4 linked regions of the Schizosaccharomyces pombe genome follow. The gene in region 1 interacts genetically with each later gene. Each region holds a gene or a part of one and is shown on either strand. Other genes may lie near its edges. The genes, in order: rga4, rga3, pmk1 and rga6.

Region 1 (5,856 bases):
ATCCCAATGGCACCAGATACTGCTTGAAGCCCCAACCAAGGATCAAGATTTCATATCCGGTAAAAAAAATGGAAAACTGGATAAGGTAAAGCAGCAATGCCGTTTCAACTTAAAGAATGGGGACATCTTGTTTTGTCCCCAGTCGACGAGTATATTCACGGTTGATATATATAGTGACGAATTGGAAAGAGTAATTAAAGGAATGAACACAATGTTGCTTGAATTTCCAGCTGAGATGCACTTTTACGTTCCAGAGGAGATTCACAAAAAACTCATTGGATTTCGAGGAGAGCAAATCCAACGTGTAACTAAACTTTATAATAGTTACATTGAATTCTCAACTACTCCTTTTGACTGTTACGGGCACAACGTGCTCATTCGCACACCATCAAAGTTCTCCGAAAATTTGTGGGCCGTCCGATCTTTATTCATTAAGACAGCTGAAGGATTAGGATACGACATCCCGAAGTATTTGTTTGCTAATTGAATTTTAAGTCAGAATCCAGTCATCGACCTGCCCATAGATCACCACACTTTCTCGTTATATTTTTTATGTCCATAACAGACACTCAAGCTGGTTATTAAATTCGGAAACTAAATTTTTTGAAAATCAAAAGTGCTCCACTGTATCAACTTTGATACACATCTTAAGTGCACAATATAATTTAATGAACGTGATCCACGCAGAATTTTGAAGCACATGACAAGTTTAAACTTTAAGCAGTTCAACGATTTGTGCAGGACGGCAACCACTGTTCGTATGCCTTTTTTATTTCTTATTTTGTTAATAAATTGTCATTGAAAACAAAAGATAAAACGTCGATAAACACAGCTAGATTGATATAATAACAACAAACATCTTTTCAGTAAAAAGAAGTAGAAACTGGCACTAACCGTTATTAATCAACTTGCTATACGCTGTGACATCTAACACTCTTTGACCAGTTAATTAGAATCGTATTTGATGAGAAAACGATATTGAGTTAATCCATCCACTTTCTTTGGAATGCATGATGATTAAATTAGTAAATTAAAGAAACAAAAAGGGATTACACAAGAGTTGTTAAACATAAAGACGTCGTTCGACTATAAAAAAAGACGTGTGAACCGTAATGCACCCTTTGCGGTTATTGGGTTTCTTCGGTTTTTTTTATACAAATTATATTACGCTTAACTGAACGAACTAATCAAGTAGCACAGAAACAAGCCACTCTTATTTTTTCTCAAGAGTCGAGCAATACTTCGTTCTCGCTGACAGGATTGCTAATAACACTAACGAAAGATGAACAGGGGGAATGTTGTATAGTTCATTTTTAGTCGTACAATAAATCTCGATAAATTTGTATAAGCAATATCATTTTAAATGTTTCAAAATCTCAAAATAATATGAAGGAAGCAACCATCACTTACACAAAGTATGAAACATAAGGAAACGATATAGAAAGAATCTGGAAAATAAGCAAATATTAATAATAGCTAGATCGAAACCTGGTGGTTTATTCGCTGCAAAGCCATAGCGGTAACAAAAGGAACAAATGCCAGTGTAGCCTTCTATATAAACAAAGGTCCTATTCTTTGACCTCCACCACAAACGGCTACGAGTTTAAAAGAGCTAGCAAATGTTGTAAAGCCTTGGTATTTTTATTTATTTTTTAATCAAGAACAAACTTTGAATAAAACCGTAAAGAGTTTTCTATCTTAGCTGCCGCTCATTTTTTGAGCTGGTGTAATTTACCTATCCATTCTCTTGGGAAACACCTTTCTTTTAATTTTCAGAATATTGATTTCCTTATGAATTCGGGTACGACACTTCATCTGGACAGACTTAGTTTGGAGACGCCATCCGAACGTACTTGTTTTTGTATTAAATGTTGGGAAGTATGTGAGGTTCAAAATTTAATCGCCGTGTCCGGAGAGCGGTCTTTTCACAAAACGAGACCCTGTCTTGAAATTGGACACTGCTCTTTTATTTTTTCCCAGCTGTAATGAACGGCATTTACTAACTTTTGCTCTAGAGTGTTCCCAGTACCTCTCAAGTTTGGTTCGGTGGGAAATGTTGGCATTCCGATTGGTATGATTGAAAATGCAAACGTTGGGATTTTTGGATCTTTTTTTTTTCTTATAGATTGAATAAAAAAATATAAAATGCTCCAAAGATTACCCTTGTTTGTGCTTCTTGTTGTTTTGATTTACTAATTAAGACGGTTTGCTAGTTTTAAATGTGTGAACTGCAACAAAAAATTAGACCCTTCCTCTGAAGATTTTTCTCAAGACGATCAAAAGCAAATATTCTGTAAATTATGTGTTGATATCTGCAACGGTTGCTCAACTCCTATTTGCGAGTTCAACGCAGTAAGCAATAGTCAAGCTAATCATCCTTGTTGCTCCAATTGTCGAGCTTTCATTAATTCAAATGCTTTTGGCAAGTTCAAAGGTCAACATTACTGCCTTCCTTGTTTGCGTAAACAAGATGAAGAGAATCAAAAGGCTGTTATGGAAAGCGCATCAGGGTTTATTCCTCTTAGGAATATCGCACAAACTGCGGAAAACACTTCTTTAACTGGTAAGTTTGTTGCTTATGTAGTATTTATTGATATTGTCTTTATGTTTCTAACTTTAATTTTAGGGCAAAACCAAGGCTTTCAAAACCCGCATTTTATAGCGTCTGATTCTCCATCCTCCGTATTATCTGGTCGAATGCAAAATACCAGCTCTCCTACAAACTCTCTCCGTCCTCAATTAAAAGTTCAAACTAATGGTTATGAAACACCTGGTGATATAAACTCCGCAAAATCTTACAAAGACATCCAAAAGGACTTCTTACTTAAACCCAAAAATTCTTTCGTTAAAACCTCTCCCTCTCCACTAGCTAATGGTCCCTCATTTCGTTCAGCTAATGCCTCTCCATTTGATTCGTGTGACTCTTTTCATTCTGGAAGTTCGATACCAATTGAACCAGTTTCTTCAAGGCAAAGCTCAGTAGTAAATAATAATAGCGTGCAGCAACCTGTTGCTTATCACGCCTTTGTTCAATCACCAACCGAAAATGGTACGCTTCCTCAACTTCCTAAAAATGAAAGCGTTGTTAATCCTCCTCCACTTCGCCGCTCTTCTACTATGAATTACAAATCTGTTTCGACAACAACATCACCATCTAAATATGGATATGTGTCTGGCAGAATAGCTCTATCTCCTATCCATTTAAGGGGTGCTCTTCGTGATGTCACAAATAAATGTAATTTAAAGGTTCCTAGAAATCGAAACAGTTTATCTAATCTTGACGAATATTACGTTAACGGATTGGAAAGCGACGAAACTCCTACAAAGGCTAGATTTCCTAGATATCCTACGGTATTTAATAAGTTAGATGACAAACGACTTAGTAGCGAACCAAACGGCTTGAAGAAAAGATTGACGAACTCTTCAAATTATGAGGCTTCCCCGCGGGCCAAAAGTTTAAATTTGTCGCAAGTTAGTTTGCATCAAGCATGTGAACCTGAATACAATCGAAGTTCTTTGGTTAGAGCAAGTGATGTGTTTACTTCAAACGTATTTGATGCTACAGAGGAAAGCGCAAATGAACTCGCCATTCGTATTTCAGAGCTTCAAGCTGAGGTTGGAACCTTATTGTTGGAAGCGACTTCGTTGGCTTCTATCATAGAGCAGCAGACTCCCGTGTCCCCCGAAGCTTTCAAGCAAGAGTTGGTTGCAGATTTAAATTATAGATTAGATTATTTACGGAAATCTTTTCAACCTGAACTGTCTACCTTACTTTTGAGGCGAGACGCTTTGTCTACGACTGTCTCTAAATTGCAAAACGCTTACAGCACTGTAATGGAAGAAACCGCATATCTGAATGTTAAGAACACAGAACTGGTAAGCCTTAACAATCAATTGGAGAGAGAATTGGCATACTTGAGGGAGCAGCAGCATAAGAAGCGAACTTCTTCCTCTTTCGGAATATTTAATAATGATAAAAAATCCAACCGAACGATTTCAACCCCGTCTCCGCGAGAATCGTTTTCGCGTCTACAAATGGTTGCATCTAGCCTTGGATTTAGACCCAAAGACAATAAAGACAAGGAGAGTGGAGGGTATAACAAACGGAACTCTAAAATAGATCTTAAGAAGTCATTTTCTAAACGGTTTCATTGGAAAAGAGATTCTCCTCACATGTCGAGTACTCCCAGTATTTCTGAAGAACATTTAGCTTCTGAAGAACAAGAGGATTTCGTTCCAGCGGTCGGTCACTGCAAACTTTGCGGTAAATACTCCAATGAGCTTAGAGCACATTATCAGGATTGCGTTAGTTCTACTATAGATCGTCAGTATCAATCTAAAAAAAGCGAATCTCCTGTTTGGGCTTTGAATCCTGACGACTTCGATCAAAACAGGCTAACACTCTTGAGAGTCCCGACGCTTATCGTTTCTTGTATAAATTTTATCGAGTCATACGGCATGGATTTTGAAGGTCTGTATCGCAAATCAGGGGCAACTTCTCAAATGAAAAAAATTGTTGCGTTACTAAGAAATGAAGATACGGTACTTGATCCAAGTGAGGATATTTCTGCTGTCACTTCTGTATTCAAGCAATATCTTCGCAACCTTCCTAATCCAATTATTACCTATGACCAATACTTTCCGTTCATCACAGCAGCAAATTGTGCCTCTTTCCAAGATAAATTAGACGGTTTTATAATGGTCATCAAAAGTCTTCCTCCAGCTCATGCTGAAATTTTGCAGCTCATTATTAGACATTTAGCAAGGGTTGCTGCATATAGTCATGCAAATCGAATGACATCCAAGAACCTTGCAGTAGTATTTTCCCCAACATTAATACGCGACCCCGATAATTCCAGAGACGTTATTGACATGACTGTTAAGAATTACAGTCTTGCGTTTTTGATAGATCATGTACATGAAGTCTTTGCCTAAATTCACACTATCCTTTAATAATTCGCTCTTTTGTTTTGCACGTTCCTTTATATTCTTTATTCGTCTTTTTTTGTTGTTTTAGTAGTTGTACCATAACTTTGGGCAGTTATATCGAGATTCCTTTTTGCATTTGCTAAGATAGTTTCATTTTTGGTCATTTTTAGATGTCATCGTGAAATCAGTGGCAGATGAGTGTTTTATGGATTTGGCGTATAGCTTCTTCATAATGCATTATCACTGCAGACTGACATCCATCGCTTTTATTTAATCATTTCCCTGTTTTAGTCTACTTGGCATTACTCACAATGCTAGGCTATGAATAAAATGCAATTGCATGTATAAAAAAGGAGAAATTTGTATTTTTTTTTAATTTTATTATGCTTTCAAGGATTTAAAGAAGCATTTTTTCCCAAGATCCCTAACTTAGGAAATGCTAGTGCAACGTATTGTGAGTAAGTGATTTTGTAGATATATCATGCCCATTATCTTAATGGAATTCTAAAAAACCAAAAGCAATTCCTATAAACAAAAATTATATACGTTATATGGTAAATTTTTTGAAGGGGGTTAAATAGAGTTTCGAACGTCTAACAAAAAACCAACTCCTGTTTTACTACCACTTTTTTTTGAGAAAAGAGGGTCTTTAAGCAGGATATTTTATTATCTATGTGAACAAAATTACGGAATTTTACTAATGGCAGATGTTATTAAACGATGCATTTTGGGCCCGACTGAAGCCGGCTGGTTCGTCGCAAAGTCTCAAATAAAAAAACCAGTTGACCAAAGACCGGTTATCCTAACCCATTGTAAGCTGCACAGCAAAATGCTAGAGCCAAAGGCGATTGTTTATAAAAAAAATTCATCTGCAATTCCTAAACGAGTTGACAACATTCTTCTTCGAAGTCAAAAGCCCAAACATAT
Region 2 (7,569 bases), on another chromosome or scaffold:
AATCAGGCTGAGTATCCTGATAATGCTCAAATGTTCATGGATGAAAGTGTCGCAGAAGAAAGTCTTGTGGAAATTGATGACAGCGTCGAAGCCTACGACATGATTCAATCCAAAAACTACGAAAGCTTTGTTTGGAAATATGTGCTGCATTTAACCGATGAGATGTCGACAGAGGACGCTCTTTTTGAAACTATACCACTTAGTAATTTGCTGGCTCAAAAGCGAATGAAAGACAAGTTAAAAGGTTCCGACGTGTTTACGACTCTTAAAATAACTTCCAAGAGCTTGCACAACATTGACGAACATTCCGATAGTGATGATGAAGTTCAACCTATATGTTATTATTACAAGGATCCAGTTGTTTCCCATGCCCCGGGTGCAGCTGAAGTCGTATCTGAACTTGAAAGCGGATATGTAGGGTTAATATCCTATGATTTGTCTAATCTTCCAAATAGTACAGAAGATCCTGAAAGGAAACTTGCAAAACCTGTCTCTTCTTGGGAGTTGTCACTCCCTTTAAAATAGATGTCTTCATTTTCGAACTACAGTCTTGAAGCCTTTACAAAAACATAAATTGTTTTTTAGCGCTGCCTCTGTGTTGGATAGCAATCCTTTCTTTTTATCGTCATTTTCTGCCAAGTTTGTTTTTTCCTAGAAAGAAAATTTAATACTTCCTCTTTATAGCAATCAGTTATTGCCATTTATAATGATGAGTCCCAGTGTTCACAATATTCTGAAACTTTTTTTGTTAAAAACTGATTGCTTTCTTCCGTATAATTGTCCCAATATTCGCACCACAACTATAAAAATTTTTTTTAGGAGCCTTTACTTCCTTCTTAAAAGCAATAGTTACTTAATCAATTATAGCGACCCCGCTATTTGAGATACACATTTTATAAATTCTACACTTTTTGGAAACGAGCATTTTCTCTTGTCCCTTTATTTGACGATCCGACCGTTCACGCTACAAACGTCTACAAAATTTTTTTCTCTAGAAAGCATCTCTCCTTCTGTTTACTCCTGTTGCTACCGAAATTTTTTCTTTTTTTTTGTCCTCTGTGTTTTTTGATCAGGAATGTATATATCTTTAACCATTTTTTAGCGGGTTTTTTCTAAAGGTAAAGCTATTTAAGCCAGAAAAACAGTTCATTTTCCTTTTTCCTTCTAATTTCGGCAATTTCCCTTTTCACAAATATCACCATTTTTGAGTGGAAAGAAAAGCCTAGAGAGCGGAAACGCTGCCAAACCCATTAAAATTAATTATCTGTAATATTATAATCGTATTTAATAGCTATTCATAACACCCGTTTCGTCTAAACTCCCGTAATAAACCATGTGACTTTTGGCAATTTTACGCACCATATCGTAGAACACGGCGATAATTTCCATAGTGTTTCGCTAGGCTAGGGCAAGGCAAGCCAAAGACCATAGTGCCATGTGTACGACGCATGCAAATTTTAAGGGATTAGAGTGAACGACTCGCTACTGCCGTTCTCACCGCTCCACTGGGCAATGATGCCAACAACTGCAGTAATAATTATTCCTTAGCCATTTACCAATTGTTTCGAACTTCAATCATAAAATTGGGAATATTTTCATTTACTTGATGGGAAGCTGAGGAATGAAAATAGGTACCCAAAGGAATCGTTGTGAAAATAAAAATCAACAAAGCCAAATTCATGACGCTAGATTGAAGTTCATAACGTTTAGCAGGAAATAAGAAGAGCATATATACGATAAGATGATATTTCGAAAAAGTATTTCCAAATCTCCATCAAGCAAGGGAAGCACAGTATGCTTTCGCTGCGGACAGGCATTTCAACGTAGAGAGACACCTATTTCGTTTGGGGGTCATATGTGGCATAAGGATTGCTTCTGCTGTACGAAGTGCGATAAAGGATTGGAGCACAGTGATCAAATGCTGGTGCAAACCTCTGATGGACGACCGGTGTGTAGCTCTTGCGCCCATACCTGTACAGCGTGTCGTATGAGGATCAAGGACTATGCCCTAATGTCAGGCTACGACTCCTATCACAGAGAGTGTTTTCGTTGCCATGATTGCCGAAAGCAAATAATTGACTCTAACTTTAAAAGAGATAATAGGACTATATTTTGTAATGATTGTAAACAAGTCCGTCACCCTTCCAGGTCTTCAGACGAGAGCGCTGATTATCACAATTTTGAGGTTGATGTCACGATTAAGCCCACAGAGACAAAGTCTTCAGTGGAATCTAATAAGTCTTTAAGCATTGAAATTATGTCTCCTCAAAAGCCACCATTATCACCTTTTGGTGGAAGCAGAGACCGCTTAGTTAGCGAAACACCGACTAACATGAGTCAGGCAGAAGGGGGTAATGTGCCGAACGATGGACAGGATAGTAATCTTGCGTCTAATTCTGCAGATTCGCTGCTGCCTAGTGCCAAAAATCGAAGTTTTTCCTCGTTTACGAGTTTTGAATCGCCGATGAAGTATGACGATTCTTTCTTTCCTATTTCACCTTCTATATCTCCGTTACAAAAAGTTAACAAGCAGCAACAAATTGAGTCTCCTACAGCCACATTTCCGTTAAGCAAAAATACTTGGAAGAATCGATTCCATACGTTTCACAAACAATCTTTTACTCCTGTTAACGATAGCTCTTCCTCGGACAGCTTAAAACCCACAATTAATGAGGAAGCCCTGGACGACTTTGCTGGCTCTGCTTCTCCTTATAAAACCATGTCATTGACTGACCGAGCAGAGCCAATTGTCATGAATGGACATATGCGTTCTCTTCACAATGCCACCTCTCCCTTTCGGCCTTTTTCTCCCTCTTACAGGTCGAGTGATACGCATTCACCGAGAACCCGCTCACCGAATGTCCAAACCCATAAAAAAACCTCTTCTCAGCCATCTGACCTTTCATCTTTTGCGCAGCTACTTTCACCGCCTCAGGTTCTTTCTCCCAAACCAAATGGCGGGGGCCATAAAAGTTTTCGGCATTCGCATTCTCTTTCTGAGACTTCTCAGCAAACACTCGTTCCTTCGCTGGGATCTAATGGAGAGTACCATTTACCGACAAACGATCATTCTTCAACTCCAGCACAATCAGAGCGAGATTCGGATGTTGAAGAATTGCGTGAACAGTTGGAAAATCTTACTGCTCTTACCAAAAAATTGTCCGAAAGGCTCTCAAGTTCTACGTTTGACAACTCTAAGTTTATTCGTACGGAAGATAAGGATACTGTTCGTTCGGCTAAACTTGAAATTTGTGAAAAGTTTTTTTCGTTTGCTGATGTGACAGATGATCCCACGCTGAAAGATCCGAAACATCAGGATTTGGTGGCTGCCGCCAATGCTTACATGGCAATGCTTCGTGAGAGTTACGGCACTGAAATAAACAATCTTTTGGAAAGGAGAAATGAGCTGCTTGACGATTACAATAATGTACAAAAAATTTTAAATGAATCGCTTGAAGCATCTGTACACCTAAATACCAAAAATCTCGAGTTGGCCGACTTAAACAACAATTTGGTAAAACAAATTCAGCATAGAGTACCTCCTGAAAACCAATCCAATTTGGAGCATACTATTACCACATCTTCCAAAAATACAACCAGCAGTATTAATCCACTTACTGCCGTGAGTAGCAACTCTGGGCAGTCATCAGGTCGACCTGGTCCGTTGTCACCAAATTTGAATGTGACTACGAGAATTGACATTAAGGGAAAAAAGGGAAGTATGCATTTGCAACCAAGAGATGTAAACCGTAAAGTCCCGTTCAAATCAATGCATACTAAATCAAAGTCTGCCGATCCTGTAGTAGGAAATGAAGATCGTACTCAATGTGACCATGTGTTTCATGTTAATGCCATATTCAAGCCCTCAAGGTGTTATATATGCTCGGAGAGCGTATGGGGATCTGAACTCCGCTGCTTTCATTGCTCAATTTCATGCCATTCGCGGTGTTTAAAAAGGCTGTTTGCAGAGTCGGAGCATGAGAAAACAATGAGTGAAACTGTAAGTGAAAATAGTAAATGGATGCCGGAAATGCCAACGAGGATGCCTCCTCCTGGGCCTTCACCAACGATGTTTGGACGATCGTTAGAAAATCAATTGAAAATTGAAGGGTCGGTTTTGCCTCAAGTAATTGCTATGTGCGTTTCTTGCGTGGATGCGCATGGATTGGAGGTTGAAGGTATTTATAGGATATCTGGCAGTGCTTCTCAGGTCCGAGTGTTAGTCGACGAATTTGAAAACGGGTCTATCCGAATGGAGCATTTGACTTCTGACTTGTTTGCCTGTACGTCGGTTTTGAAAACATATTTGCATCGCTTACCGGAACCAGTTATACCTGGCACTCAATACGAGGAGTTGTTGGAAGCGGAAAAAATCGAAAAGGAAGAGGAAAAAATTGAACGGGTAGTGGAAGTAATGAAAACGCTTCATCCTGCACATTTGAGCGTATTTCGATTTTTGATTGCACATTTGGGTCGTGTATGCAAGCACGCGGAGAAAAATTTGATGAACTCGAAAAATGTCTCTACAGTATTTGCACCTACTTTAATGCGAGATAAGGTGAATCGGTTTGATTTACAGCATGCTACCAAAAAGAGTACGGCTCTTCAGTTTATGCTTGATAACGTGGATAAGATTCTTCATAATCTGTAGCTTGTTTTATGAATAATGATTAAAATATCGGGGAACTTGTATTTTTCTAGGGAAGAAGGAACTTTACGATAATAATAACCACTTGTGTTCCAAACTTCAATAAGGAATACTTTTCGAAGAAATAATGAGACTTTTTTTACACCTCTTTTTTTTAATGAAAAAAGGAAAACAAAGATATTAGCATAACACTCTTACATTTACGACTGAACTATTCAAACTGGGTAATACAGGATGTACATTATGACAAGCAGGCAAGCACACGCACGCTCATCAGATACAAATAAATACGCACGCAAATGGAGATTGTATAAAGATATTTGCCATTAAGCATTGCGAGATGCAAAATAAGGAAAATATAATGCTAATTTGATAAAAAAAAAAGAAAACAAACTCTTTTTAACGATACTAAACAGAACTCAACTCGATTTGGTTCGAGTATTTCGTTTCTCATAACTTGAACATAAACACAACATAAACAACTCATCAAAGACACATACATACACAAACACTACGGTCGTGCCATCATGTCTCGAAATCTCAAAGAATGGTATGGGGAACATGGTGAGGGATGAATGGCAGTGAACGTGAAAGGGGATGGATGGCATAATTAAATGTAATCTGCAACATTGTCAGTCAGGGTATGACTAATCAAAAAATAAAAATTACAAGGGAGTAAGAAAAAAAAAACAAAAGCAATCAAATAGTACTACCTAAAAGGCTTATATCCCTATCAAGATAAGGATCGTTTTGCTCTTCCTCATCAAGTTGTTCCTCGTTATTGTTTGCATTTTTCTTTTGTGTTCCATTAGCGCTCTTGGAGCGTGATTTCTTTCCTCCAAAGATGCTGCCAAGACCGCCAAGAGACGAGAAATTAACACGGCCAGTATGTTGACTGGAACGGTTGCGAGTAGACTCGGACCTGGAGTCATCGTCGCCGATATCTTCCTGAGTGGCATGGTAGCTGGAGCTCTCCATGTCATCCTCCTCTTCCTGGACCAAAGGTCCGGCCTCTGGATATTCATTCATGTATTCGTTGAATGAATGAACGCCCATCGAAGGATGGCGTTGTCTACCGGAGAAGGAGTGTTTGTCAACATGATGACCATGGGTTTCTTGAGTTTGATCACTAGAAGTAAAACGATTTGCCATTGCGGTGGATTTGAAGAAATTCGATTAGTCAATTAGTATTGGATGAAATTCAATTTCAAATTGATTTGGATTTGGATTGGATTGGACTGTCAATAACAATTTTCAACTCAATTGGTTATTGTTTGTTTTGTTATTGTTGTTGTTAGATTGTCAGTGGGTGGGTAATTTAGCTTGACTCGCTGATGATCAATAAGGGTGGATATGAATACGATTCGGTATTTGTTATTACGAAGGATGAAATATATATGTACTGTATTTTGGGAATGGAATTTTCACTCTTAGTGCCCAACCTTCTATTTATCTCCTTGCTGTGGCCAAATGTCATACGTATTGGGTTGCTACATTGAATGTAAGTGTGCCTTACTCGTCCTTTCACCCGCAACTCCATTGTTATCCAGCATCGTCATCCACTGCAATCGTGGCGCCAACCTCTTCACTTCCACCACCCATATAGCATATTTCCGTGAGTGTGTACCTCGGCGAGATCCGTTAAGTGGGTTTACGAAACAGGCCAAGAGGAGGAGGAGGGTTTGGTGATAATGCAATGGAGCACACAAGTAAGCAGGACGAAGTATGATTGATGGATGGATGAAGGAAAAGAAGAGAAAATGGCAGGTTGGTTTAGAAGAGGCTGTTCATCCCGTGGTATCGCAGTCTCAAGTATGGCACGGAAAACAAGCGTCGTTTTAATTGTCCAGGAGAAAAACAAAAAGGAAACAAGACTTTAGAGGGTCAGTCTTTTTTTTATGTCTTTTCTATTTTTGCTTTATGTTGTTGTTTTATATTCTTTCTTTCTTTTTTCTGCCTTCTTGACAATTAATTGATTTCCGCGGCAAGCTTAGTCAGTCTATAATACGGTGTTGTGCATCAGAGATGTTATGGCATTGCGTCATGATCGACACCCTTCCTAATCCCTTTTTTCTCCGCCTTCGCTTCCCCACACTTGGAGTCACAAGGCTGAGTCGATGCTACCTGAAAAGATGGGGTAATGGCATGACGAAAAAGACTGCAGGAAGAGAGGGGTGGGTGAAAGAAAGGGATTCAAACGAGACATCAATAATGGATGGAAGAAATAAAAACATAAAAGAAAAAAGAAAAAAAAAAGAAAGAAAAAGTTAAAGAAGATGAAAATTTTTGTTTGTTTGTCTCAGAACTAAAGTTTTTTTTGCTCAATTTTCTGTTCAATTTCTTTGATTCGCATTTTGTTTTGTTCCACTTTTTCTTTTTTTTTTGTCTTTGTTCCACCATTGGTTTTCTTTATCCATCTCTGTCCATTGTTGGTAATCTTGCTTTATGATTATAGGAGTCCTTTGTTTTCTCTCTCTCTTTTTTTTTTTATTTCTTTGTATGAATTGCCTTTTTTTTGACTAGCGTTCTTTGTCATACATGTCATCTTGAAATAGATGGTTTTGATTGTTTCTTGTTTTCAATAACTTTTTTTTTTTTTTTTCTGCTCTCTTTCTCTTTTCATTTTTTTTTTGGTCAGCGTGAGATACTGGCTTTCATTGAGCTACAATAAATAGTTTTGACTTTTTATTTCTATTTCTATTTCTTCTTTATTTTCCTGCTGTCTTTCTCTTCTCGCATACACAAAAGAGACTCAAACATACACACACACATACTCGGAGAGTTTCTCTCTCTCTCTCTCTCTTTTTTTTAGAGTTTCCTTTTTGCTCACTTGTTTTTCTTTGATCGTCGTTCTTTACGACATCTTTGTATTATAACGAAAATAACCTTTATTTGGACTTTCTTTTTATTCACTGTGGATG
Region 3 (4,680 bases), 1.1 Mb from region 1:
GACTTTTTGTTCACTTATTTGTGACGTCGTTTTTCCCTTTTATTTTTCCCGTTAGCCTTTACTGGAATCAAGGTCGCCCGCCTTCTGCTTTATTTCATTGCTAGTAATGGATGCCATAGCGGCAATTGCCAAAATTTTCTCCTAAAAAAAACTGTTCCTTTTATATAGGATTTGCGCATCATGATTTGCTTTCCCAAAAAACAACGGAATCTGTACGACCTTTTTTGCAGGTATTTGTAAAGGCTTTCCCTTTCTATTGTAAAACTTCATTCGCGTCTCGAATATCATCTTACATATTTTTTCTGATTTATAAAAATATGCACATAATTTCATATTCGACCGCTTTGCATTTCATTATAAGACGCTTCTACTTGAAGAGAGCTATCCTTGTGCACGAATGTTGTTTAATTGTTGCAGGATACAAATTCATGACTGATGTATTTATTCATCTATTTTGTCTTGGTTAGTTAGTTTTGTGATTTCATTGGGATGTTCCCTAATAAAGGAAATTACTCTACCACAGATATACTCGTTCACTAGTAAAAGTAATATTTTTAAGTAATTAGCTGTTCTATTTATATATTTTTCTAGTTGTAGTACGGGTGTATATGCATGCATGTATGTATAACAAAATGTTTCAAGCTGTGAGACTATAAAGCGTGCAAGAAAAGGGAGCACAAAGATCGCCAAATATTATATGCAAAACAGTAAATGAAGGACTAATGCAAATGAGTATTTTTTATGGAAATTAAACGAGCAAACAGAGATTCGACAGTAGCCAGCAAAGCTCAAAAGATAGCAATAGCTAATTTATGTAAAAATGAGAAAACGCAATGAATGATTTGTATGCAAATGTTACCGTAAAAAGGCTCAATAAAACCAGCTGCTGCCAATGTATTAGTTATGGCGATTATCATCAGACTTATGGTCTATAGCAGCAGTTTCATTATAAGAATGATCATGGCGCTTTTTGTTAGAGGTTTGAGAGGATGAAGAGCTACTAACATTGAAAGAACCATTGTCATTAGATGGAACGGTTTGGGCTGGTTGCGGGATGTTGACTGTTGGGTTTGTTGGATGAGAGCGGCGTCGGACTTTCTGACGGAAGTTTAAAACTTCATCTAAAATGACACGGCGTAACTCATTTGCATCCTCAATGTATTCAAAGCTGAAATCAAAGACGGAATCACACACAGGTTCGTCAGAGGGATCATGCCAAACAGCTAAATAGGGATGTTCTAAAGCATCGTCAACCGAAATACGTCTGTTGGGGTCGAAAGCCAAGAGCTTAGCAAGCAGGTCAAGAGCCAAAGGATTGGCTTTAGGAAAATTGGTTTCAAAAGGAATAGGTCTTTGCTTTGGCAAGCTTCGAACATACTCCTGTGCACGGGAACTGCTTATATGAGACAGGGTTTCCTCATCAGGTGTGCCAAGTTGATGCAAAATTAAATTTAACTGATGAACAAAATCTTTTCCCTTAAACAAAGGGGTTCCACCTAATAGCTCTGCCAAAATGCAACCAACACTCCAAACATCAATACCTTTATGATAGCTGCTGAACGAAAGCATAATTTCCGGAGCTCTGTACCAGCGCGTTGCCACATACTCCGTCATAAAACCAGGATTTTCTTCTGGATTTTCAGAACATCCGCGAGCGAGGCCAAAATCGCAAATTTTCAGCTCACAATCAGCGTTAACTAAAAGATTACCTGGCTTTAAGTCACGATGAATAACGTTGGCAGAATGAATATACTTTAAACCACAAAGTATCTGGTAAATGAATGATTGAAAATGCGCATCCGTTAATGGCTGACCGGATTTAATAATAGCATTCAAATCGGCCTCCATCTATTATAATAGTTAGTAAGTAATTATACAAATATTTCCGTGACTAAAACAGACACCATATGTGGATCATCGCGTAACATACCAACTCTTCGTAAATGTAAACTTCATTAAAATTGTATGGATTTATAATGTCGAGATCGTAAATGCAAGTAATCTACCATGTTAGTAAAGTTTATAAAAAATAGGAAAGACATCACTATGCAAATGTAAGACAATGAGCAGTTCAAATTTTTTAATCAACCGAATTCCAAACATTATATCAAGATTTATAAAGGAAATACTTTTCAAGGATGATTAGAACTCATTTCTCATAGAAGACTTTTCATTGTATAAAAATTTGCATTTTCATCAAAATGCACCTCGTTAATACATCCCGGTGATGATGAGTAATCAATCACAGGAAGCCGTTTTTGCATAAAAGACTTACGTTACGATGATTACGAAAATGAATCAGCAGTTTTATCTCTCTCAAAGCTCTTTTTGTAAGAATGGATTTAGAAAACACATTCGTAATTTTTTTTATGGCTACAGCCTCTTGATCTTTGCTAGCCACGTTTCTTGCTGCACAAACAATGCCGTAAGCGCCTTGACCCAACTCCTTCACTACCTAAACTATGTTAGTTTTCCTAAAAGTTCAAGCAGATGCGATTTTCTGTCAAGTAAACAAAATGTTTTGCAAATGCAGCAGTTACCCAAATATCTCATACCTTAAAATTAGGCTCGACATACATCTCCTGGTTAAACACACGGTAAACACGATGTCGACGGTCCATCCTTGCGACTTATAGCATGCAACTTGAATTTTTAGCTGTTTGGCAAAAGGGATGTGGAAAAAACTACAGTACATCACTTGTAGTGATTAACGATGCCTTATATTTCACTATTTGAATGCAAGTCGGTTAGATTTGAAGACTATCAGATGGAATTTATGGTATTAAAGAATATGCATACAAATCTAATAAATATATGAGGAATACTAAAAGAAACTAGGTCCAGAGTTCAAGACTACCAAAAGCGTCAACAATAAGCACTATAGCGTACGGTTGGTACAAGAAGGCCATGTCAACGATGGGGTGCAGACGATTTTCGCTAGGTAGATTCTTTTGCTGTTGAAGGAATAGAAGAGGCCTTGACACTCCCGAAGACTTTGGGCGTACATTCTGTTGTTCAGAGACTTTTTGGTAGATAGGAGGTTTGTTATGTATTAAAGATAGTTTTGAACTCTCGGAGTCGTTGGTCACCGACGAACTAGCAGAGACATTGTGGGGATTCCAAATAAACGCATGAGGGCTTCCAGAAGCGGCAATGAGAAAAAGTGGCTCTCGTTCGACAGAACCTGCAGACGGACCTCTGTACCTATAGATTGGACTAGATATACAAGGCCAAGGAGAGTCGAATTTGGTATTCAAATCTCTTAATCCCATGTCATTGCCAGAATCTATATCAAACTTTTTTTTTTCATTAAAAGCATCAATTCCAACAGATACCGGAATCGGACTGGTGAGTGAAGAATTCCAGTTTTCTAAGAAAACCTCTTCGGTTTTCCCTTTTTCAACGTCAAAATTTACTATGCCTGAAGCGGATCTGTGACTCGCTGGAACTGCATCTTCAAGATTAACTTCTTTATTATCCAAGTTGGTAAGGACGCTAAAACTGATACTGACTGTAGTGCTTCCAAACGAGTTTAACATTCCGTGATTTTCTAAAGGATTGATGGGAATAGTAGAGTTAATTGGCTGAGTACTACTTGAACTTGTACTTGAGCTACCTGGAACCTTGGTAACGGGACTATTGTTATTTCCGGAAGTATACTCATTAACGTTGCTACGTTTTTTGGTAACATCTAAAAGAAGATGCATCTGATCAATCCTGGCTGGCATATGCCAAGAGCATGATAATGTCCCAAAGCGGAGGTCCCAAAGTAAGAGCCATCCTTTGGTAGTCCCAATTAAAGCCCAATTACAACCCTCAGAAACTACTACACTAGTAGCTGACCCACACTGTAATGGTAATTGGTCTGATGACAAAACCCTCATCATTCCCACGTCTAAGTATACGATGCGTGACCATTTTGTAACAACGACTAGACGGATACTCCCGTCGTGAAATGTAGAAGCTTCCATGGAGGTTACAGAATCACTGAAATCCAAATTGGGAATACGACCAGCCGAAATTAGAGTATGCCGCTGATTGTTAACGTCAAGTCTGTGAACTTCCACAGAGCCATCTTGAGTAACAGAAGCAAAAGCGTATGTATTACCTAGAAAGCATCCATTGACCACAGAAAATCTATTCCTCTCGCCATTACGTCGCGTATGCCCATAACTTAATCGGCATTCACATCTCATAGTTGAAATATGACGAACACTTTCAACTAATTGCCATGCTCTTACAACACCGTCAGATCCCAAGGTAACGAAAAAAGATGAATCTGGACTAACCAAAACTTTCTTCGTACCTCCATCAAGAAGGCTTCCTAAATATATCTGAGCAACTCGTGATCCTTCTGGATGCCATTCATGAGTCTGAACTATTTTATTCGCAGCCTTCGCAGACACCTTTGTTCTACGACGCAAAGGTATATTAGAAGCCCAGCTTGGTGAAACAGCAGCACCAACGTTAAGTGTCGAAGCCGCTGCTTCTGCATAAATTTTATTTAAATAATTTAAGACGCATGGATTAGTTCCAGTATACGATGATTTTTTTGCGCCATTTTGCCTCGTGGTAAGCTTTTTCAAATCGATATGAGTAGTAAATGATCTTTGGCTTCGAATACCGGCAACATTAGTTGTATCATTCGTTGAAACCCTAGAAGAGATCAACGGTGCGAGG
Region 4 (5,260 bases), 1.3 Mb from region 1:
TTCGTCGTCGGTGTTAACTTGGAGAAGTTCAACCCCTCCGAGAAGGTTATCTCCAACGCCTCTTGCACCACCAACTGTTTGGCTCCCCTTGCCAAGGTCATCAACGACACCTTCGGTATTGAAGAGGGTCTCATGACCACTGTTCACGCTACCACTGCCACCCAAAAGACCGTTGACGGTCCCTCTAAGAAGGACTGGCGTGGTGGTCGTGGCGCCAGCGCCAACATCATCCCCTCCTCCACTGGTGCCGCCAAGGCCGTCGGTAAGGTTATTCCCGCTCTTAACGGTAAGCTTACCGGTATGGCTTTCCGTGTCCCTACCCCCGATGTTTCCGTTGTTGACTTGACCGTCAAGTTGGCCAAGCCTACCAACTACGAGGACATCAAGGCTGCTATCAAGGCTGCCTCTGAGGGTCCCATGAAGGGTGTGTTGGGTTACACCGAGGACTCTGTTGTCTCCACCGACTTCTGTGGTGACAACCACTCCTCCATCTTCGATGCCTCTGCCGGTATCCAACTTTCTCCTCAATTCGTCAAGCTCGTCTCTTGGTACGATAACGAATGGGGTTACTCCCACCGTGTTGTTGACTTGGTTGCCTACACTGCTTCCAAGGATTAGATTGCTTCTTTCGATTTATTCCGTCGTCAATCTATATCTCTCTAATCAGCCGTTGTTAAACTCCAAGCTATTCAACTGAACATGCGTTCGGTTTTGGGGGGTCTTACATATGTGCGAACTTTTGGTTTTTTATTCTTATGCTTGTTTTCCCCCTTTTCCTTTTCTGGGGTTTGCTACGATAATGATAGACATGTATGAGATTTTCCTCTTTTATTCCACGTTATCATTTTGATTGCGCTCCTAGGGCGATCTCTATAGCTGACGACCTTTCTACGAAATAGATTAAGATATAATTTTAAATGAATTGTTTTTTCTTCACTTGTTTTTAATGTGTAAAAAATCCGTAAAGTATGTGGTGTATGAAAATTTTGATTTGAAATGTGGTAGTTTATTGGAGGTAAAAAAGGTAGACTGATTTATAAAGCATTATATAGTTATCATAGTTGCTTGTTAGCATTCTATTACCGTTTGCATTTGAGATAATTGTTTTCGTCTTGATGATAGATATTCGCTAAGATGTTTCCATAAACTTGGCCCACGCTTTTTTGGGTGAAGTAAATAATTTTTCAGTCCTTTTGAGGGCCTCTGCTGCCTATCTTTACTGCCCCTATTTGCAAGTTTCTAGAATGGAAGTGTAAGTCAAACGATAAGAAAAATTATATATTAATAGATAGCAATTTAAATTTAGCATTTTCATTCTTAGTGTTCGTTCACTCCACTTTCCAGATCAATCTCAGACCATCAAGTATGATGATGAAAGCGAGTGTTCCATTTAGGCGGTTCTCGCAACTCTTAATGTTTGATACTTAGAGCTGTTTGTGCTTCAGAAAATTATTCAAAAAATTTCATGCTTGCATTTGATTCTTTTCTGGATAACAGCTAATCCTGTTTTTTGTATTTTGTCCTTTGGTTTTTTGATACCGCATTGCTAGTCACATGTACCCTCATAAAAAATACAGTTATATCTAAGCGAGAAACAATCGCTCGATTGCGAGGCTCATCTATGGAACTGTTTATACTTGTGTCTCATGTTCCAATAGCTTGAAAGTGTGTTTAAGCATGAGATTGTTATTTAAATTATCAATTCATATAGTAACAATATCTGCTTTGGTGCCAAACATTTGAATTCCTTACGAACTAATAATAAGATTGCTTCTCAGATTTCTCAGTGGAATACTTCCATTAGTAACTGCACCATGGGAGTTTGAAAGCTGCTGTCTTTCCTTAAATTACAATAGTCCGTGTAGAAGATGAGTTTTTGGTTCGTTCAATATGTGACTACTTGTTCACCTATCTTTCGCTTCGGCTCGTACTCTACTTTTCAACGCCTGCTACTTGGCTGAACCTCTTAGTAAGTAACGGATGTAGAACGGTTCTTACCAAAGCCAACGTCTCTCTAATCGACATTTATTTCAAAATTCTATCAGTGGAGAGTATATATTGAGGTTTATAGCTTTTACGGGCCTCGAAAACCTCGTGTAGTAAAATTTGAAATTGTTGGGAGAAGTATGACCTTAAATCCTTCGACTCTCAACAATGGAACTCTTGGGGACCTGAAAGAGCACAAGGATGTCGTCTTGTCTAGCAATGCGCAGACCGATGAGAAACGTTTCGAAGAACCGTCGCTAGAGGTGGGAGGATCGTTAGCGAAAGTGGAAAATGGCCTTTCCACATCAATTTCATCATCTGCAAGCAATTTGGAGGGACAGCAAGCTCCTTTCTTTACTAAGCAAAATTCGTGCTTGTCACGCTTTCGTGAGCTAGCTCAGACTTACAACATACACGAAATTAATCTCGAGGAGTACGTTTCCCAGATAAAAGAGGTTAAACAATCTCTGTACTCCGACGATAGCGTATTTAATGAATCCAAAAGTTCTTCACCTCCAGATGCTCATACTGATAAATATTTCACTCCATGTGGATCCCCTACTAAGCTGATACACTCGACACTATTGGAAGAGAGAGATACTCCGTCCTCCCTAGAACATGTTAGCTTTTACCTTCAAGAAAGCGCAGTATCAGAAGTTCGGTTTGATAAACCTTCAAACAATGGTCCTCTAGGGAGGTCATCCCTAAATCTAAGCTCCCTTTCACACGAGTTACAAACTTCACAAGATTCTCCCTCCTTGTCGGCTACGAATCAACTATCCTCATCAGATACGTTGGAACCTCTCCAATACCCACCATCTTCATTTGGCTCTCAAAGACAGTTCAATGCCTCTCAAGATTCTCCAAAGCGAAGCCCTTCCAAGGGATCTTGGTCCTCTATCCTCCGCCGCCCCTCTCTTACTTACTCTCCAAAACGTCAGTCCACTGGCTTGCATCGTCGTTCTTTAACGAATTATTTTAAATTTCCTCATCGTAATGCACATCAACATAATGCAATTGCTCATAATCCTTCCGTATTTGGTAAACCTATCGGCGATTTAACGTCAGATCCCACAAATCTTTGCAAATTTACATTTCCCACTCCTGAATGTGCACCTCCTTCTTTGTTGCTCCCACATATTTTTGCTCAATGCGTACATTTTCTATCTTTAAATGCTTTGCATGTACCGGGAATTTTCCGCATTAGTGGTTCTGGTCCCGTAATAAAAGCAATCACAGAATACTTTTATTCTCCACCTCATTTTTGGCTTGATGAAACATCAGAAATTTTTAAGCGTATTGGATTTCCAAGTTATATCGATATAGCAGCTGTCTTAAAACGGTACATTATGTTATTGCCAGGTGGCCTTTTTACGCATAAAGATATATTGAATCTTTTAGTACCATTATACGTTGATTCAAGTAGAGTAAAGGTTCCTATAGACATCCGGAATGAAATGGCCGCTCTTTGCTTTTCACAAATAGATTCTTACGTGCGCTTTTCTATCCTTTGCTCTCTACTAGCATTATTGCATCAAATAGCTACACGGACTCAAGAGTTGGAAAATGGAATGGAAAATACCAAAGACTCTACTTTGATGAAGCCGGAAGCCCTTGGTATTATTTTTGGTCCTTTATTGTTGGGTAACTCTTCTACTGATCTTTCGAAATCTTGTCCTTCTGGAAATGTGAATGACCTTATGAGATTTGAAACCGAAAAGGCTAGAGTTGAAGCCAAGATTGTAGAGGGACTGATTATTCACTGGCCAGAGGTACTACTTAAAATCAATTCTCTCGACATACCCAATTGTTTTTCTGATGTTGGGTTAACTGACCAAGTTGCTATTTTTACTCCTGCAGTCCCGAAAGAAGATTCTCCAGAACAGATACCTGAAAATGTGAATGCATCTGAGGAAAGTTATCCTAATGTTAAGCATATCTCGAAGCTTCCTTTAATCAATGACTCTTCCGATAATGAATCGGGTAACCAAGAAAATGATGATGCTGTAGCAAATGAGAGTACCAAAGTCGTTGTTGACAATCAACAGCCCCAGCCTAAGATTTCCACCGTTTCTGATACTGCTGTTCCTTCCATGAGTTTTGCTAATAACATTTCATCGCGGTCGGTTATTTCAGCTGCTACAGATAGTAAACCGTCAACTCGCACATCACCGCCATTCGTGAACAATACAAAACCGATCGTCGCAAAGTCACCGGTCACTGTTACTGCTTCTTCGGAAACCAATAAAAAATCGCAGAAGATTAATAAAAAGGCATCTCCAAGGGTCAGTTTGTGGACAAAACTGTTTGGTAAATTCCGATCAAACAAGAAGAAATCTTAAGAAAGGATTTCTGTTTTCGGTGTCATTTATTTATCATATATTACAACCATTTGTTTGCTCTTAAAGTTTAGGTTCATTTTGATATTTTTTGGTTTCATAGTAGTATTTATTAAGATATGCATGTTAGTTTTTCCATGTCACATGTTTTATTCAGGTGTTGAAGGGATAAGTTTATTATTTGGAATCAACTACGGACGAACTTTTATCATCTTCTAAAAAACTAATCATTAATAAAATGTGATTCATGTCATTAAGTCAAATAGACTTCCGAACTGGCAAACGGGGTTGAGACGGTAAAAATATAAAGAGATGAAGGGTAATATAATGTGCCAATAAAAATAAAAATTAAGAATCTGTGTCCTGTTCAATTAAATGCAATGCCCGGCCAGATAATAATATAACATCGCCTTCACCATCTTCATACTCTCCATTATTAGCATCTCTAGCAACTATGTCATTAAGTAATTCGATGATATCGTCGCTAGATTGTATAAATGCAGTTAAACGTGGAACTATAATGAGTTAGCTAAAGAATATATTCCGTATATCGTGTGTAGACAAAATCGTCAATAAATTCTCTAAAAAAAACTTACCACCAGCCTCTAGTAATTGTACAATGGTCCAAGCAGCAATATGGGCAAAAGTAGAATCTTCACTACTTAAAAACCTGACCAGATAACCATGAATGCCACCAGCTGGAGAATCCCAACACTCTATGAACCGGCTATAATCATCGACATTAGAAGAAAGATTACCCAGAGCAGCCGCAGAGTTGCCTTGGACTTCAATCGACATAGAGTCTGTCAATGGGATTAAAACATTACAAATACCAAAGTTAAGAAGATACGACTTGAATTCGTCACTTAAAGCAAGAACGGCTAGACAGGCAGTCATTTCACTTTGCACGCTAACAGGAGCATCTAAAATTAAAC

What was found.
Region 2: of rga4 (region 1) and rga3, changing one enhances a phenotype caused by changing the other (phenotypic enhancement), as found in Schizosaccharomyces pombe (one study listed by BioGRID).
Region 3: mutations in rga4 (region 1) and pmk1 impair growth when combined (synthetic growth defect), as found in Schizosaccharomyces pombe (2 studies listed by BioGRID, with this or other methods).
Region 4: of rga4 (region 1) and rga6, changing one enhances a phenotype caused by changing the other (phenotypic enhancement), as found in Schizosaccharomyces pombe (2 studies listed by BioGRID).

Annotation. Positions count from the first base shown.
Region 1 is NC_003423.3:1,837,832-1,843,687, forward strand, and holds rga4 (Rho-type GTPase-activating protein Rga4), read left to right. Parts: upstream 1-1,584; 5' UTR 1,585-1,791; coding exon 1,792-1,878; exon of another isoform or gene 1,879-2,015; coding exon 2,016-2,071; exon of another isoform or gene 2,072-2,213; coding exon 2,214-2,563; exon of another isoform or gene 2,564-2,626; coding exon 2,627-4,935; 3' UTR 4,936-5,356; downstream 5,357-5,856. Other genes in the region: SPOM_SPBC28E12.02 (BICC1 family RNA-binding protein), read left to right, coding at 1-487; protein Cbp7, read left to right, coding at 5,630-5,856. UniProt on the Schizosaccharomyces pombe protein: GTPase-activating protein for Rho-type proteins.
Region 2 is NC_003424.3:5,123,011-5,130,579, reverse strand, and holds rga3 (Rho-type GTPase-activating protein Rga3), read left to right. Parts: upstream 1-1,546; 5' UTR 1,547-1,741; coding exon 1,742-4,651; 3' UTR 4,652-5,347; coding exon of another isoform or gene 5,348-5,800; 3' UTR 5,801-5,966; coding exon of another isoform or gene 5,967-6,188; 3' UTR 6,189-7,252; downstream 7,253-7,569. Other genes in the region: RNA polymerase I upstream activation factor complex subunit Rrn5, read left to right, coding at 1-525; protein mug108, read right to left, coding at 5,348-5,800; SPOM_SPAC29A4.22 (uncharacterized protein), read right to left, coding at 5,967-6,188. UniProt on the Schizosaccharomyces pombe protein: GTPase-activating protein for Rho-type proteins.
Region 3 is NC_003423.3:728,801-733,480, reverse strand, and holds pmk1 (MAP kinase Pmk1), read right to left. Parts: upstream 2,666-4,680; 5' UTR 2,622-2,665; coding exon 2,556-2,621; exon of another isoform or gene 2,456-2,555; coding exon 2,276-2,455; intron 2,003-2,275; coding exon 1,931-2,002; intron 1,849-1,930; coding exon 898-1,848; 3' UTR 529-897; downstream 1-528. Other genes in the region: serine/threonine protein kinase Vps15, read right to left, coding at 2,835-4,680. UniProt on the Schizosaccharomyces pombe protein: Regulates cell integrity and functions coordinately with the protein kinase C pathway (pck1 and pck2). Involved the regulation of wall architecture, cell shape, cytokinesis in exponential and stationary phase, and metabolism of ions.
Region 4 is NC_003423.3:579,121-584,380, forward strand, and holds rga6 (Rho-type GTPase-activating protein Rga6), read left to right. Parts: upstream 1-2,024; 5' UTR 2,025-2,126; coding exon 2,127-4,328; 3' UTR 4,329-4,673; downstream 4,674-5,260. Other genes in the region: glyceraldehyde 3-phosphate dehydrogenase Gpd3, read left to right, coding at 1-618; protein Vac8, read right to left, coding at 4,674-4,840, 4,922-5,260.